Linked DNA regions of Lonchura striata. The protein of the gene in region 1 binds, or shares a complex with, the protein of each later gene. Links are inferred from orthologs where the notes say so. Each region holds a gene or a part of one and is shown on either strand. Other genes may lie near its edges. The genes, in order: YWHAB and MLXIPL.

Region 1 (7,334 bases):
CCTTTATTGGTTCCCGTTCCTATGGGCCCTTTAGGACAAAGCCAAAACTAATCAGAACTAACTGTGCTTAAAAAGTCTGTAAAAATCAAATGAAAACTGACACTGAAAATAATCTGGCTTATATAACATATCGAACTGACAGGACAATTCTAATAAGCTTATGTTGGTCTGAAGTCTGCTGCTCTTGATGACCTGTTCTTCTGATGCTAATTAAGTCATCGATTTTTGTGCACTGTTTTTCTCTCTACAGCAAGCATGAGAATCTATCAGACAAACACTTCCACTTTGTAGAAAAGAACTGGTGAGAAAGCAGTGTAGTTATTGGTTTGACATACTGGTCACTAACATGTTGAGCAGAGCTGCAAGTTAACAGACTTGCATATTTCACTGTGAGACAAGAATACAAAACAAGGTTTGGTGAAATGGGAGGGAATCATACTTCCCAGTCATAAGCTCTCTAAGTCCACTCAAATTCTACCAGAAAAAGCAGCAGACTGGTACAGAATTTGCAGTTCAATATTCCAACAATATGTGAACACACCTTATTTGATTTCTGGACAGGCAATTCATTCTGAAAATAAACATTCACGTGAGGTGAGTGGTACCTCAAATTACAGTTCTGTAACTACAGAGAGTAAGAGCTCTGGGGACATTATTTCTAAAATAAACAGAAAATCATTCTCCACCATTCAGGTACACACATGCTAACACGAGTATCTGCATGATGGGGATGGCATTCCCTGTCAACTGGACAGTGCTTCCAACATTTATTTTTTTACAGGAAACGGAGTGCAGCTCTTTCAGTTGAGTGTAAGGAACCTTCCTTGCTTTCCTGTAGCATTATGCATTTGATTTTATTAGTTGTGTTTCTCTAGATGGTTTCCTCAAAGGCTACCATGGGATGTTTGAAAATGAATAGCTCTGTTAAGATCTGAACAGCAAAATCTTCCCATCAGAAGCTTGGGTATAACAAGTTCAGTAAAATATCCTGCAAACATAATGAAGGAACATGACTTCACAGCTGTGATATTCTTGCTGACCTTGTGCAGCACATAACTTCAGCCTCCTCTGCATCTACTCTGGCCTTCGGCTCAAGTCTCTATGCAAATGCTGAGATAAAATTAACATTCTATAAAGCCATGCCTCACCCTGCTCCGGCCATCTGCTGCCATCATTACTTGTTGCTTCGTAAAATTGAATAAAATGACATTCAATGGCATTCACTCTCCATAGAGTATTACAAAATGCCTATGACCACTACCAACAGCACGTGGGGACACTGATATTGTACAGACATCTTAAATTTAGTGAAAGCAGCCTTGTTCTTCCTAATGCCAGGCTGAAAAGCAGAGCTCTGCTCCTGCCTATGGCCCTTTGCTCAGTACAGCTGCAGGTGGAGACATGCTGGCACTTCCACAGCACAACATCCCCACATGGCAACACCTTTTTGTTCCAACCAGCAGAACTGTTTTTGGCTCAAATCCAGGTGGAAATTGTGACTATACCCAAAAAATCTTCCCCCGGGCATAAAGTTCACGCCAAAATAATGTATTCATATCACAGGTAAATCACTTTTGTTAATAATAAACTGACAGTATTTGTATTACAGGGTGGGGCAAGGAATGTGGCCATATAATAGACACACTACTGTAATGCCTGGTATTAGGATACCACACGGATCAGAGTAGGAGCTTTTACCTCATTAACCAAATAATTATTTAGTGAGCTCCTCCTCATCCGAGTTTATTCACATGCATCACAAAAAGCTGCATACTGGCACAGGCCTGCTCGGGAAAAAATAAAACGACTCAACATCAAAATAGCGGAGATCAGAACATGCGGTACTGACATAATGAGGTTGAGAAAACTGCACCAGGCCCATCTGTGCAAGGAGTCTATCACTTTATTGGTACCAATTTAATAAACAAAATATGATACAAGGGATATTTCTGCAGTCCTTTAATATGAAGGGAGAAAAAGGCACTTGTGTTCTTGTTTTCTTTTCTAGACCAGATTTTATCTCATTATTGCTTTAAAATTAAAATAAGCTCATCTTTTTTCATATTAAAAGTGTTACAATTTCTGACTGAGGTGTCCTGAGTTAGTGAACATGTGAATACACAAATATTCCTACAGCCACTGAAGATACTAAACATTACAAACACCGCCAAAGCCTCTGATGTTCTTCCATGGGAATTTAGCTTTTATGGTGCTGTATGATGTGTCTTTTGTTCTCCTATCAGTGGAAAATGTGTTTTAACTATTAATAAGGAATCTATCTGAAAGCAACCAATTTATATTGTGTTCTTTGCATGAGATGCATTGATGCCAATACAGTGATTGCATGTCACTGTTATTTTAACATCCCAATTAATACCTGGTTATACATACCTCAAACAAAACCCAAACCCGTTAGATCTGGGCTACTGCCCAGCCTTTCTGTACGCTGGGACTGAACCAACCTTCTTTCCCTGTGGAGTCCTCCCTAAACGCATCTCTATTCCCAAATGGACACGAATGATCAAAACTGGAAAATAATAAACGGGTTTTATTCCCTTCTAAAGCGCTCCTACACGGCCACGACCACCTACGCGGGCCGGCTCAGAGCCGCGGGCACGGGCACGGCAGCTGCGCTCTCCGGCTGGGCACGGAGCTGCCGGCGCTGGGCGGCCGGAGGCCGGCCCGGCGGTGCGGGCTGGCCCCGGGCAGCGCCGCTGGCTCGGGCAGCGCCGCTCCCGGCGGGGCTCGCCGCGGGCCCGTCCCGCCGGGCGGGCCCAGGTGAGCGCGGCCGCGCCCCGGGCCGCCAGTGACTCACCGGGGCGGGGCGGCGCGGCCGCCCGGGGAGGGGCGGCGCCGCCCGCCCGCGCCCGCCGGGCGAGGGTCACGCCGTTACCCGGGCCGGGGGACGCAGGAGCGGGGAGGCAGAACCGGGGACCCTCCCGCGGAGACCCCCGCACGGCGCGCCCGCCGCGGCCTGCGGCTGCCCGCGCGGGGCGGAGCGGAGCGGAGCGGAGCGGGGGCAGGCCGGGGCGGGCTGCCCCGGGGTCGCGGTGCCGATCCCCCCACGCCGATGCCCGCCCCGGCCGCGGCCCTCACCTGGCGGCGCGCGCGGATCCCACGGGCGGAGGGAGGCGACGGCAGCGGCGGCCGCTCCACGGACACGCGCACACACCCTGCGGCGCTCGGCCCGCTTCCGCCGCGCGGCACGCCCCTTCCGGCGCCAGGGGGCGCCACCGCCCGCGCGCCGCCCCGGCGGGACGGTCGCCATGGCGACGGGGCCCGGCCCGGCCCGGCCCCGGGGCTGCGCCGGGCTGAGCGGGGCCGAGCGGGGCCCGGCGCTGCCGTGCGAGCGCGCCCCGAGCGGGGAGAGCCCCCGAGACACGGCCCGTGCTGCGCTCACACCCCGCAGCCGCCGCGCTGCGCGCTCTTTGTCTCCGCGGAGCTCCCCGGTGGGGGTCCAGGGGAGGGGTGCTGCGGCCTGCAAGTGCAGCAGCTTCTCCGGCAACAAAAGGAACGGTTTCTGGTTTTCTTGTCGTTTCGCACTGCTGTTCTTTGGCTGGACCTCACAGTAGAAGTGATAGAATCACAGAATTGATTAGGTTGGATAAAGCCGTCTAAAATCACCGATCTATGACTGAACGCTTCCACCCCGCTTAGAGCATGGCGCTGCACCCGGTCTTACACACCACCGGGGACAGTGACTCTGCCGCCTCCCTGAGCAGACCGTTCCGAAGGGATATATATCGGACATCTCGGAAAACAGGCAGTGTGGTTATTCTCTGCACCCTCAGAAATAAAACCTGACAAATGCTTTGAATTGCAAAATCACCTTTAAATGCTGTTTTAGTAGCAGCTCTTCCCTACAACTTCAGTTTTCACTGAAAAATCAAGATCCATACTGGCTAGATAAGATTCATGCAACTTACAAACTGCATTTTTCTAAGGAAATGGCAAAAGAGAACATTTTTGGGGCATGAGGAGAAGTCTAGCTTGGTGTCCAAAAAGGAATCCAAGTAAAAGAGTTCAGTTTTGTAATCCGTATAATCCTTTTGGATAAGAAGTGACAGGACACACAACTCAATTGCACTGCACCCAGATCTCAAATTTATGGCAGCAACACTTGTCAAAGTGTTATTATTTGGACTCGGTTCAATTACAGCATTCTGGAGTCCAATTTTCTCTTCTACTTTCAGATACAGTCCTGGGCCCATCAAAGTCACTGTCAGATTCCTTTTTGGTGATGGAAGGACTTCATTAATTTCCTGCTTAATCTCAGTCCAAAGGTTAATTACTTTGGAAACTCAGAAGGAAAATTACTTGGCACCCACGAGTTATCTTAAGCTGCAAACACTGATTCAGCTCCATTAGTTGCTGTCATCACTCTCTTTTTTCTTTTTGAGGCAAAACTTGTTTTTTACCCCTGATCCTCTCCATAGTCCTTATCTTCTCAGTTTCCATTTGGGCCATTCCCAGTGTTCTTGCTGAGGCCTTGAAGGTGCTGATTCATGGCAGAATTACTTGGTTTTGACATTCCTTGCCTCCATATCTGTGTATCATACTCAGTTTGCAGAGGTGTGCTGTCAACACCTGTTCATTTGGACTTCCACTGTGCCTTCTTCACCCTTCTCCTCTTCCTACCTGTGTTGTCACAGCTCATGCCTCTTCCAGTGAGGTGCACTGAGCTCCTTTCATACAGCTCCTCCAATTTGTCCACACAAAATTCTCATCATCACCGCTGAAATGCAGCACTCAATCCTTCTCAACTGCTATTTTTGGACCATGCAATCTCCACCACACCATCCAGGTAGGGCAATTCTATACTGTGTAGTCAGAGAGGTGAAGCATCACCCTCTGCTGTCACAGAGCTCCTGCAGCTGTGTCCCTGCTGGGCCAGAGGCCACCGAGACAGAAATGTGTTAATGATACAGATATTCCTCCTTGAGCTTTTCCTACCCTGGGGGCTTCCCAGTCCTGTGCCTGGTCTGGTGCTAGAGATAAGCAGGGCACCCTGCAGTTCCTCCAGGGATGGTGAAGGCTGGAACCAACACCAAACCTCAACTCTGGAAAAGCTTGCACCAGCAGCAAGTGGTTCAATGTGTCACCCTTCAGAGGAGGAAGTGCACATTGGCTCAAAGAATCTGAGATACCCAATCTGTGCAAGAACAGCCATTATCTCAGGGACAGGCTGGATCCATGAGGAAACAAGCACAACAGAGAGACCAGCTTGCCTGGCTCTCCAGCAGAAAATGTCCTGTTGTGTGTTTTTCCAAAGAGCCACATTTCAGGTAGGTAAGTGTGAGGTCTAAATGGAATTTGGCTTTAGCTGCTGGTCAGCGTTAACCTGTTACTGCCCTGGGGAGCACAGAGCAGCTGCCCTAAGAGTGCTCACACTGAGCTACAGCCTCACAGACCGTAAATCCAGAAGGGAGGAAATCACAGGATTTGGTGTGAAAGAGGATACAGCTCATGGCTGAGGTGGAGTCCCTTTGCTGAAGGAGTGGTTCTTTACAAGGACTGTGAGACCAAAGCCCTACCCTGGATACACCACAGGCTTCATCCTTCAAAGGAGGCTCTGCAGGGCTGCAAGGACAGTTTGTTCCTGTCTTGTGCAACTGATTCACTATAGAGAGCGAGTTTCCATCTCCAAACCACTTCTCTTGCACTAAGTTAGTACTTAACATCAATAGCAGGTAAAAGAAGTGTAATAAGCTTTTTGACAAAGATGTCAGTTGCCAAACAGGGAGGGCTGGCTCTATTCCTGTGCGAGCAGCAATGTCAGAAGCTGTTCCCAGCAGATGGCACAAGAGCTCGAGCTGCTCCAGTCTCTGTACCTGCCCTCAGGTGTGCGGCTTCTGGTACAGGAAAAACGAACCTGAGATTTGTACTAGAACAAGTGGACAAACCTTTGTTCAGAAATGCCATCCTGACGAGTCGCTCAATTTTTGTGATTTTTTTTTTGTTTGTTTGTTTTTGGTCATTTGTGTTGAAAGTAGTAGGTCTCAGCTGCTGTGGGTACCAGAAGCAAACAGTTGATGGCACTGCATGATCGCTGTCCCTGCAGCTGATGTCTCCCTGCAGCCTGACCGAGTGAAAAACGAGGGTGTTTCATTTCCATGCTGTAGGAAAGACACTCACAAAATGTAATCGCCACCTATTAAGTATATTTTATTTCTTGATTGCTTTGGTACTCATTTTCCCAATCTTCCGCTCTGTGTATGAGAGTGTACAGCCTGGATACTTCAATTGTTCTAGAGCTGGATCTCACAGATCACTAAATAGTGGATTAGGTGATGGATCCTGCATGGAACTGGTGCAGCGGTTTATGGCAGCTGACAGAACTGACCTGCTGGAGCTGACAGCTGGGATGTCCACCAGAAGTCTCATCAGTAAATTAAGAATTTCATCATTTGTCAATGCTGGTTGTGGTGTACTTTGAATTGCACATGATGGTCCTAAGAAGGAGATTTGTAAGGAAGAAACAAGGAACATGAAAGAGCAAAACAGTACTTTTAAATTAGTATTTCTGCAATAGGAAATTTTTAAAAGCTCCAAGGTAAAAACTTCTGCAAAACATCTTGTACTTTCTCTGTGCATAAGCTGCTTGTGACATTATAGACTACTGTGATGAAGTTAAAACTAGAATTAGGTTAGTTAGAACTAAAATTACAACTAAACTGGGCTCAGGCATAAACATCTTGCATAGGATAGAACTATTAATAAGTTTAATTAAAGCAACATTTAAAGCAAAGAGCATCAGGTTTTCCTCATGGTCCCTGCCAACTAAATGCTAGACTAAGTAATACTTTGTTGGGCAACTTTCAGTCCTTCCTTCTGTCCAAGGAATGCAAGTAGTTTAGTTCAACTTCTCTATGAAATGCGATTTGGGCAAAAGTCAAATTGGTGTTTTAATTTTAAGGTGTTTAAAGGTCTGAAGGTGACTTTGGAGAACACAGTTAAGAGCATAATTGCAAAGCAACTTATAAGAAGTAACTGTGGGAGCATGAAAATATAAATGACCTAAATAGTATAAAATAGTATGATGGGAAATGTGGTTGGAACAAACGTCTTGGATGGGATAGGAATTCAGCTCCAGGAATGCAATTTTGGCAGTAGTGCCCCAAACAGAGAATGCTATTTCTGGGGAAATGCACTGAACTCTGGGTCATGAATTAAACTCAGGTAATTTATGTTCTGCTCATAAAAAGTGGCAGTGCAAAAAAAACAAGCAGAAATGGAATGGAATATATTGCTGTAAATTTTTGTAGCTGTTGGGACCTGGAGAGTCGTTGTGTACTTCTGGTGCCAGGTAATGCCTAAGAAAAATTCAAGCCAAG
Region 2 (7,613 bases), on another chromosome or scaffold:
ATATGACAGAAGAGGACTGTGAGGGATGGGTTTGTTCAGCCTGCAGAAGGTGAAGAGAGAATTACTGCCATCAGCTGCCCTAAGGAGGAGATGGAGCCAGACAGTTCTCAATCATACACTGAGAAAGGCCAAGGGGAAACAGACCTAAGAATTGGAACAGGGAAACTCCAAACTACAGCCACAGACAGCAATTCCCTAGGGGAGAGGAGCAGCCCTGAGCAGGCTGGACAGATGGTGAGGTCACATCCTAGGGCTCCATCTGTCAAAGTAATGGCTCTGAGCAACCTGACTTGGCTTTGGATCTAGCCCTGCCCTGCATGAGAGTTGCATGATGAAATCCACAGGTGCCTCCCAGGTGACAGCTTACAGTGGTTTCTCCTTGGTTAGGAATTTAGTCTGAGCTTAACTGTGGGTGCTCTCCTGAGGGCTGGAGGATACTGGGCTGGTGACCCCAACTGAGGCTGTTCTGCCTCTGGGAACCTGGATGGGAGGGGAAGTGTGAAATGACAGGTGATGCAGACCAGTATCAAATCAGACAACACTAAATGTAGAAATGCACCAAGAACACTTAACTCCATTATTCCACCCTGATACCTTTCTCTAGCTGCTGCCTACAAGAGTGTAAAAAAATTATTAGCAAAAGAAAAGCTAAGAGAGCTGGGGTTGTCCAGCCTGGACAACCTTAGAGACCTTAGAACCCCTCCCAGTGCTTAAAGAGGATCCAAGAGAGCTGGAGAGGGATTTTGGTCAAGGGCCTGGAGTGACAGGAAAAGGGGGGATGATTTCACAATGTCAGAGGACAGGACTAGATGGGATATTGGGAAGAAATTCTTCCCTATGAGGGTGGTGAGATCCCAGCACAGGCTGCCCCATCCCTGGAATTGTCCAAGGCCAGGCTGGACAAGGCTTGGGTGAGCATCCCATTACATAGGAGCCAGTATCTGCACTGCCATGCTCAGTGCAGGAAGGAAATGAGCCACTGAGATTCCAGGTAGTGGGGAAAACTGGAGCAATAGAACCCTGACTGCAGTGGAATGGCCAGCCCCCAGTTACACACAGTACTCCAGTTGTCAAAGCCCTTGTACCCTGTCTGTTTCCACTCTGCCTGGGAGCTCCTGAGCCCAGGGGCACACTGAAGCTTCCTTGCACCTCATGAGTCTACAGTTTGAGCACCCTGGTGTGACAGTGTCTGTTTCTCCAGCCTCAAATCTGCAGGGCTCAGTATGGAAAGAATGGGGCTGGGAGAAGAAAAGGCAGCGAGGCCACCAGTGTTTCTATGACCCTTGTTTGTGGCACTCAGGAGTGACCTGCCCAGCCAGGAAGCATGATCCTTACCTGGGTTACCCCATGCTGAGGCTCCCTGTGATCCCAGAGAGCACTGCTATGCTGTGCTGGCTGCTGGCAAACTGGGATGATTCCATCCATCTCTTGGGATATGATCAAGGGTCAGATGTACACAGCCATGCGGGAACTGGTACCCTCTGTGCCAAGGATGCCCTGGCAGTGACCACATTCCCTATTGCATTGAGCACTTGAGGACTCCAAGGCAAACCAGAGAGCTCAGTCACTGGATGAGATCCTGGATGAGGTAATGGGCACCTCTTCAAGGCTGCTTTGCTGAGGTTTTGCTTTCACGTGGTAGAACATCATCATCTAGGTTTTCACATTTGGACATCTTGGGAGAGCTATACAAGTGGTGTGGCACTGACTCCATGCTGATGCCGTGCTGGAGAGAACTCAAAACCTCGGGGCTTGGCAAAGGAGGGGAGCTGCCTCCAAAAATGTGGACTGTGGCCATAAGAGACACACTGCACTCTGTCCTGCTGTCACCAAAGAGCTGCCACTGGGCTTTGGCAATTTGTACAGCAGGGGAACAATGCAGGCACCCATCTGATTTTGCAGGAGAGAAGGAGGAAAGCTTTCAGGAGACCTTGGATAAAAGCCATGCAGCCATCCAGTCCCAAGTGCTACTGCATATCATGGAATAACCTCAGGACATGGGGATAGAGCCAAGGACAGAAGGCAGGACTGCTCTGGGCTGGACTGCCAAACAACTGAGTGTTAGCTGTCCACAGAGTCACTGCTGCTCTACAGAGTGTGCTAGGTCTGGCCATGGAGGAAATACAGCTGGACACAGTGACGCCTGATCTCATGCAAAAATGGAGAAAAGTCAAGATACATGTGGAACAGAGAAGCTTCTCACTTGGCTCTGCAGCCAACAACCCAGCATCAGCTCTCTCTCCCTGAAACTTTCCAGGATGGCAATTTCTGAGCATATGACACATCACAGCCCATGAAAAAGAGGAGGAGGAGGTCAGATGGAAAAAAATTCCTGGCTGGGGAACGGGGGGGCTCAGCTAGCCTCCTGCCTTCAGCCAGCTGGGGGTCTGTAAGACACACACAAGGGCTCTAGGACTCACCTGTACTCCAGGCTCATGCACTCAAAGAGCCGGGTGAGGGTTGGGTCAATACTCCGGGGATCAGCCAGCTCGGGCTCGGCACGGTGGTGCCGCCGCCGGGGTAGCGAGTCGCTGTGCGGGCACGACACCATGAAGTGGCCACTGTGGATGACCTGGGAGTAGTTCTGTGCTGCAGCACTGGGTCCTGTGCCACCCACAGCCGTGTCCTCTGAGTCTGAGTCAGAGTCAGAGTCGGAGACGGGGCAAGGCCCAACCGGAGGCTCCAGGAATGGTCCCGGTAGTCCCACCTGAGTTCCTGCCATTCCTGCTGCCTACTGGGGAACCCTGATGGATCTGACCCGGCACTGTGATCCGTGTCCCCGTTGAGCTGAAGCCCTACAGACACTCCATTGGCATCGAGCACATGCTGAGCTCCCCAGTACAGAACACTGGCACCACGCCTCCTGCTAGGCACCTCCTCCAGCCGGCCCACAGCACCATCTGTTCCTTGCTCCAGGGTTCAGCGGTTGGTTCCCCAGGGCTGATGCACTGCCAGCCCTATTTATGGCGCTGCTGGCTGATCCCGCCCATGGCAGGCCTTCAGCAGGACACATCTGGTGGCCACCAAGCACCAGAGCTTCAGCTCCATGCCACTGTCCTGCTCCAGCAGTGTCCTAACAATCCCAGCTTTTACATCCCCCACACACCTGGGGCGGGGCACTGCAGGTCCCCTGTCCCCCCGTTGCTGTGGCCAAGGGTTGGCTGGCGGTCGGCTCTGTTTACCTGGAGTTAATCACTGATCCTGGGTGCTGGTGGAGTGAGGAGCAGGCGGTATTTACCCAGTGCCTTGCTTTAATGGATCTCCCTGCACTTTCAAGGGAACAAATACAGATTAAGGGACACAAACAGGTAAAATTATAGCAACGGGCACTCTGTTCAGCACAAGGCAAGCCAAGGCACTGAGCCAAGTGCCGAGCTGAGAAACAGCCCCAGGAAAGCCTGCTCCAAGCGGAGATCCAGCAGGAGAGGAGATACAAACAACAAATGTGAGAGAGAACAGATACGAGTTTGGGTATGGTGGGATTTACACATCTTGTTGTCATGTAAAAATCAAAGACTCATCAAATCCTAGAATGATTTGTGTTGGAAGGGACCTTAAAACTCAACTCATTCCACTACCCTTCCACTAGACTAGGGACACCTTCCACAAGAACAAGTTGCTCAAAGACCTGTCAACCTAGCCCAGAGTACTTCCAGGGATGAGGCAGCCACAGCTTTTCTGGGCAACTTGTGCTCAGACTTCACCACCCTCACAGGAAATAATTTTTTCCTAATATCCACTCTAAATCCACCCTGGATTGCCTTCACCTCTGAGGTTTCTAGTTTCTGGCAAATTCTTTCCCAGCCCCACATCCTGGAAGGAGCACACATGCCTGGAAAGCACCCAGGCAGAGATCTTAGGTACCTCCAGTGGAAATACAATATAAATGGGTGGGATAAACTCAGAATAGACAGCTGCAGGCATCCAGTTTGTAGATGGAGCTGAATACTTTCCATACCACCCAGGTAAGTCCAAGAAGGGTCAGCAGCTATCCAGGGTATTTTCCAGAGCTAGAAGAAGAATAAACACAAAAAGCTGGTTTGGACAGCTTCTACACTGGTTGGTGCAACCCTCCCTTTCAGACCATTTCTTCACTTGAGAACCATGTCTTCATTTTCCAGCCAGATTTCTGTGGGTCTGTAGCTTTTTTTCCCCTCTGTGATCCATTACAAACACTTCAGCATGTCCCAAGCTGCCTGTCATGATGTTGAATAGAGAAGTAATTTTAAAAGTACCATCTGTATACATTTTAAAGCAGTAATGGGCATGTGAATGTCCTGGGAAACTAAGAATTAGGCAAGGCACAAAGAAACAAACATGTCAGAGATACAGAGGCTTTCTGGGCACATTCCACTCATGTTGTGCAAAAGGCACTTCCCAGAATTTTGACCAAAAACATTTGCCATCTGTTCACCAGTCCCAGGCAGACTTCAGTCCTCTGGGATAACATCTATTTGAGGGAAACAGAGAAGCACATCAAGTGAGGCCTTTATGAACATCACAAATCCTTCATTGCTGGTCCAGCAGCTCTTGTGCTGCAGAGGAGGGAAATCCCATGAGGTGACAGAACCTTAGTCAACCAGGGAGCAGAGCAGGAGTCTGACACAGGGGCAGGTAGGCTGCAGAGATGAGGAATTTTGTAAAAGGCTGTTTGGATCCTAAAATGTTTGATGCCATTGGAAATGAGAATCAATGTTGATAAGGGTATAGTGAAGCATATCCTTCACTGTACACTGGGGGACTCTAGATTAATGCCAGTCAAGAGCTGAAGGTAACTGCAAGCAGTTCCCTGAAAACATCAGCTGAAAGTTCATGAGTAATTAAAAAGTAAAAAAGGCTCCAGATATTGCAAGGAAAATATTGCTTGCCCCCATATAAAGCAAGCTCACAAGTGTGTGTGGCTTTGGTGCCTGGCTGAGAAAATTTGGAGAAACACCGGAAAAGGTCACAAAGATGAAGAAAATGGGTGGTCAGAAGTGTGAATGGCATCCTTGCAAGAAAAAGGATCAGGACTGTTAGGAAAGATGTGAATCAGGTAAAAGGCACTGACAGTGTAGACATGGGTATAGGAGGAACAGGGAATGATTATAGGTGATTATTCATCACTTTTCAGAGCTGGAGCTTGGAATGGATGATCTCCAGAGGTCCCTTTGAACTCTGACTATTCTGTGATTCTGTGTTTCTGAGGGCACCAGGCAAAGGAAGTGCTGGCATGTTCATCTCAGGATTTTGTGAAACTAAAAGTCCAATCAGACTTAATAAGGAATTGGATAAACTGATGGAGGACTGTAACCATTAAAATTCTTTCTGTGTCCAAAGCAAAGCTGACTGATGGGAACTCAGAGCTTGGAGAAACCTGGTCTAGTGGAAGGTGTCCCTGCCCATGGCAGAGGGATGGAACCAGATGAGCTTTAAGATCCCAAATAATTCTGTAAGTCCATGATTCAATATCTATGCAATGAGGTTCTTGATGCTTTTTTCCTTGGATGGTCTTGCTCACATTCCCTCTGTGAACAGCTGGTGCTGACAGGAGCTTAACACTCCATGCAGTAGCAGGACAGAGTAAGGAACATAGAAAAGAGAACTGCAGCCTTCAGCCTGCAGCTAGACTCCTCATAGAATATTTCTGGGCTCTCCTTGTCTGCCAGACATCCTTCCCACAGGAAGCTGCCTGGCAAAACCTGGGCAAGAGCACCCTCTGGGGACCAGCAGAAATGTAATGGTGATATTGCACTTCTCAAATCCCTTCTTTTCACACTGACATTGCATTTTAAGTGGGTTTCATGATGGTGATGCATGCCAGGTTGTTTGCCCAGAAAGCAGAGTCTGCTGGAGAGGGTGGGCTCATTAGACTTCATCTCTGTTACTGTGGGACAAGCTGAACCTCCCTGGAGAGAGCAAGAGAAGCCTGAGGCCACACAGCAACCTTGGAGCTTCTACGAAAAGTGAGGTATCACTTCAAAAAATCGTGGAATTGTTTGGGTTGCAAGGGATCTTAAACATATTTCATTCCAGCCCTACTGCCATGGCCAGGAAACACCTTCCACTACACCAGGTTGCTCCAAGCCCAGTTCAACCTGGCCTGGAATACTTCCAGGGATGGGGCAGCTTCTCTGGGCACCCTGTGCCAGGGCCTCACTATGCTCACAGGAAAGAACTTCTTCTCAATATCCCATCTAACTCTGCCCTCTGGCAGTGGGAAGCCATTCCCCCTTGTCCTGTTACTCCAGGGGCTTGTTCAAAGTTTCTCTTCATCTCTCCTGGCGACTCTTTTGTTGGAATCTGTGGTATTGATGATTCCAAGATTGTAGAAAGTCTCTGTCAGCCCTGTTGCCAAAGAAGTCATAATTTGTCTGTGCTGGTTTCCAGGTTGTTTATTCTGTTTATCTCTATCATGTTCTGCTGCCCTGCCCAGCTCTGTCCTGCAGGGCAGCATGTGGGGCTCTGCCCTCAGAGGGATGTTACAAACATTAAATACCAGAAACTCCCTGGGCTGGATTTACAATAACGTGCCAATATCTGTCACCTACGTTGGACAGTGTGTCCCCAGCCTGAACCAACAGAAAAATGCCAACACCACAGTGACACATGGAGGGCATGAAGAAGGAGAAAAAGGACAAGACACACCCAATTTCCTCCATCTTGTCCCCTTTGAACCCCTAATCTAGAATCCTAAAATTTTACTTTTGCACCCATGCCACACTTAATTATTACTTATATCAAACACTCAGAGCTGGTAATTCATCCTGTAAGATTGAAAACTCTTTTCCATGGACAGAGATCACAGACAGTGTCTCTGGGGGCTCTGTCCAGGGGGGTTCCTGACCCCTGCCAGGGTCGCAGACCTGCCAGGGCAGCCAGAGGGAAGCTCTGGACTTCCACATCTTTAAGCACTGGAAGAGGATCAAAGGTCTCTTTCCCAGGCTGGACACCCTCAGCTCTCCCAACCTGTCTCCAGAGTAGAGAGGCTCCAGCCCTTGGAGCATCTCAGTGACCACCTCTGGACTTGCTTCAGCAGCTTCATATCTTTCCTGTGCTGGGACCCCAGAGCTGGAGGCAGCTCTGCAGGTGGGTGCCTGCTTTTGAGTCAGGGATGGGATGAAAAGACGCCATGGTGTTCAGAAGGCTTAAAGAAGAATAATCTTTATTAGCAGGAAGTAATGTTCCTTTGATAACCAGGATTGCTAAGGTGAAATATGATTGGTCTCAAAGTGAAAACTTTTCACACCATTGGTGCACTATGAATAGCACACTGTGATAGAACATATCTATAAACAGCATGAACAGAAAGAGAGATAATTGCTTTCATTCCTTCTCATAACTTTCCCAGGCTAGGCCTGGGAGAATTCTCTCTTTTCTCTCTGATTGAACTGAGAACATCTACAGCTGGGGTCTCACAAGGACAGATGGGGACAATCTCCCACCTGACAAATGTCCCACTGGTTAAAGATAATAAGCAGACATGGTGCAAAAGAGATTTTTCTGCATCTTGCTAAAGAGACTCACCATGAGGATGGAATATACAATGGAATTGTCTTTCCTGTCATGGAAGGGAATGTGATGCTCGGAGCCCAACACAGGAGGGTGGTGCTGCCCCTGAGCTGCCTCTCACC

The links.
Region 2: the proteins of YWHAB (region 1) and MLXIPL are in contact, whole or in part, in a crystal structure (PDB 6YGJ), measured with the Homo sapiens proteins. The link is inferred for Lonchura striata from reciprocal best matches to the Homo sapiens genes YWHAB and MLXIPL. Residues at the interface, in NP_003395.1 of Homo sapiens: Gly55, Arg58, Ser59, Trp61, Arg62, Ser65, Ser66, Gln69, Lys70, Arg129, Val178, Tyr181, Glu182, Asn185, Leu218, Gln221, Leu222, Asp225, Asn226, Leu229, Trp230; in NP_116569.1 of Homo sapiens: Asp118, Ile120, Arg121, Asn124, Ala125, Trp127, Arg128, Ala129, Trp130, Tyr131, Ile132, Tyr134.

The regions. Positions count from the first base shown.
Region 1 is NC_134619.1:9,246,157-9,253,490, reverse strand, and holds the start of YWHAB (14-3-3 protein beta/alpha), read right to left. Parts: upstream 3,212-7,334; 5' UTR 3,097-3,211; intron 1-3,096. UniProt on the Homo sapiens protein: Adapter protein implicated in the regulation of a large spectrum of both general and specialized signaling pathways. Binds to a large number of partners, usually by recognition of a phosphoserine or phosphothreonine motif.
Region 2 is NC_134622.1:811,478-819,090, forward strand, and holds the start of MLXIPL (carbohydrate-responsive element-binding protein), read right to left. Parts: upstream 3,053-7,613; 5' UTR 2,723-3,052; coding exon 2,421-2,722; intron 1-2,420. UniProt on the Homo sapiens protein: Binds DNA as a heterodimer with MLX/TCFL4 and activates transcription. Binds to the canonical E box sequence 5'-CACGTG-3'. Plays a role in transcriptional activation of glycolytic target genes. Involved in glucose-responsive gene regulation.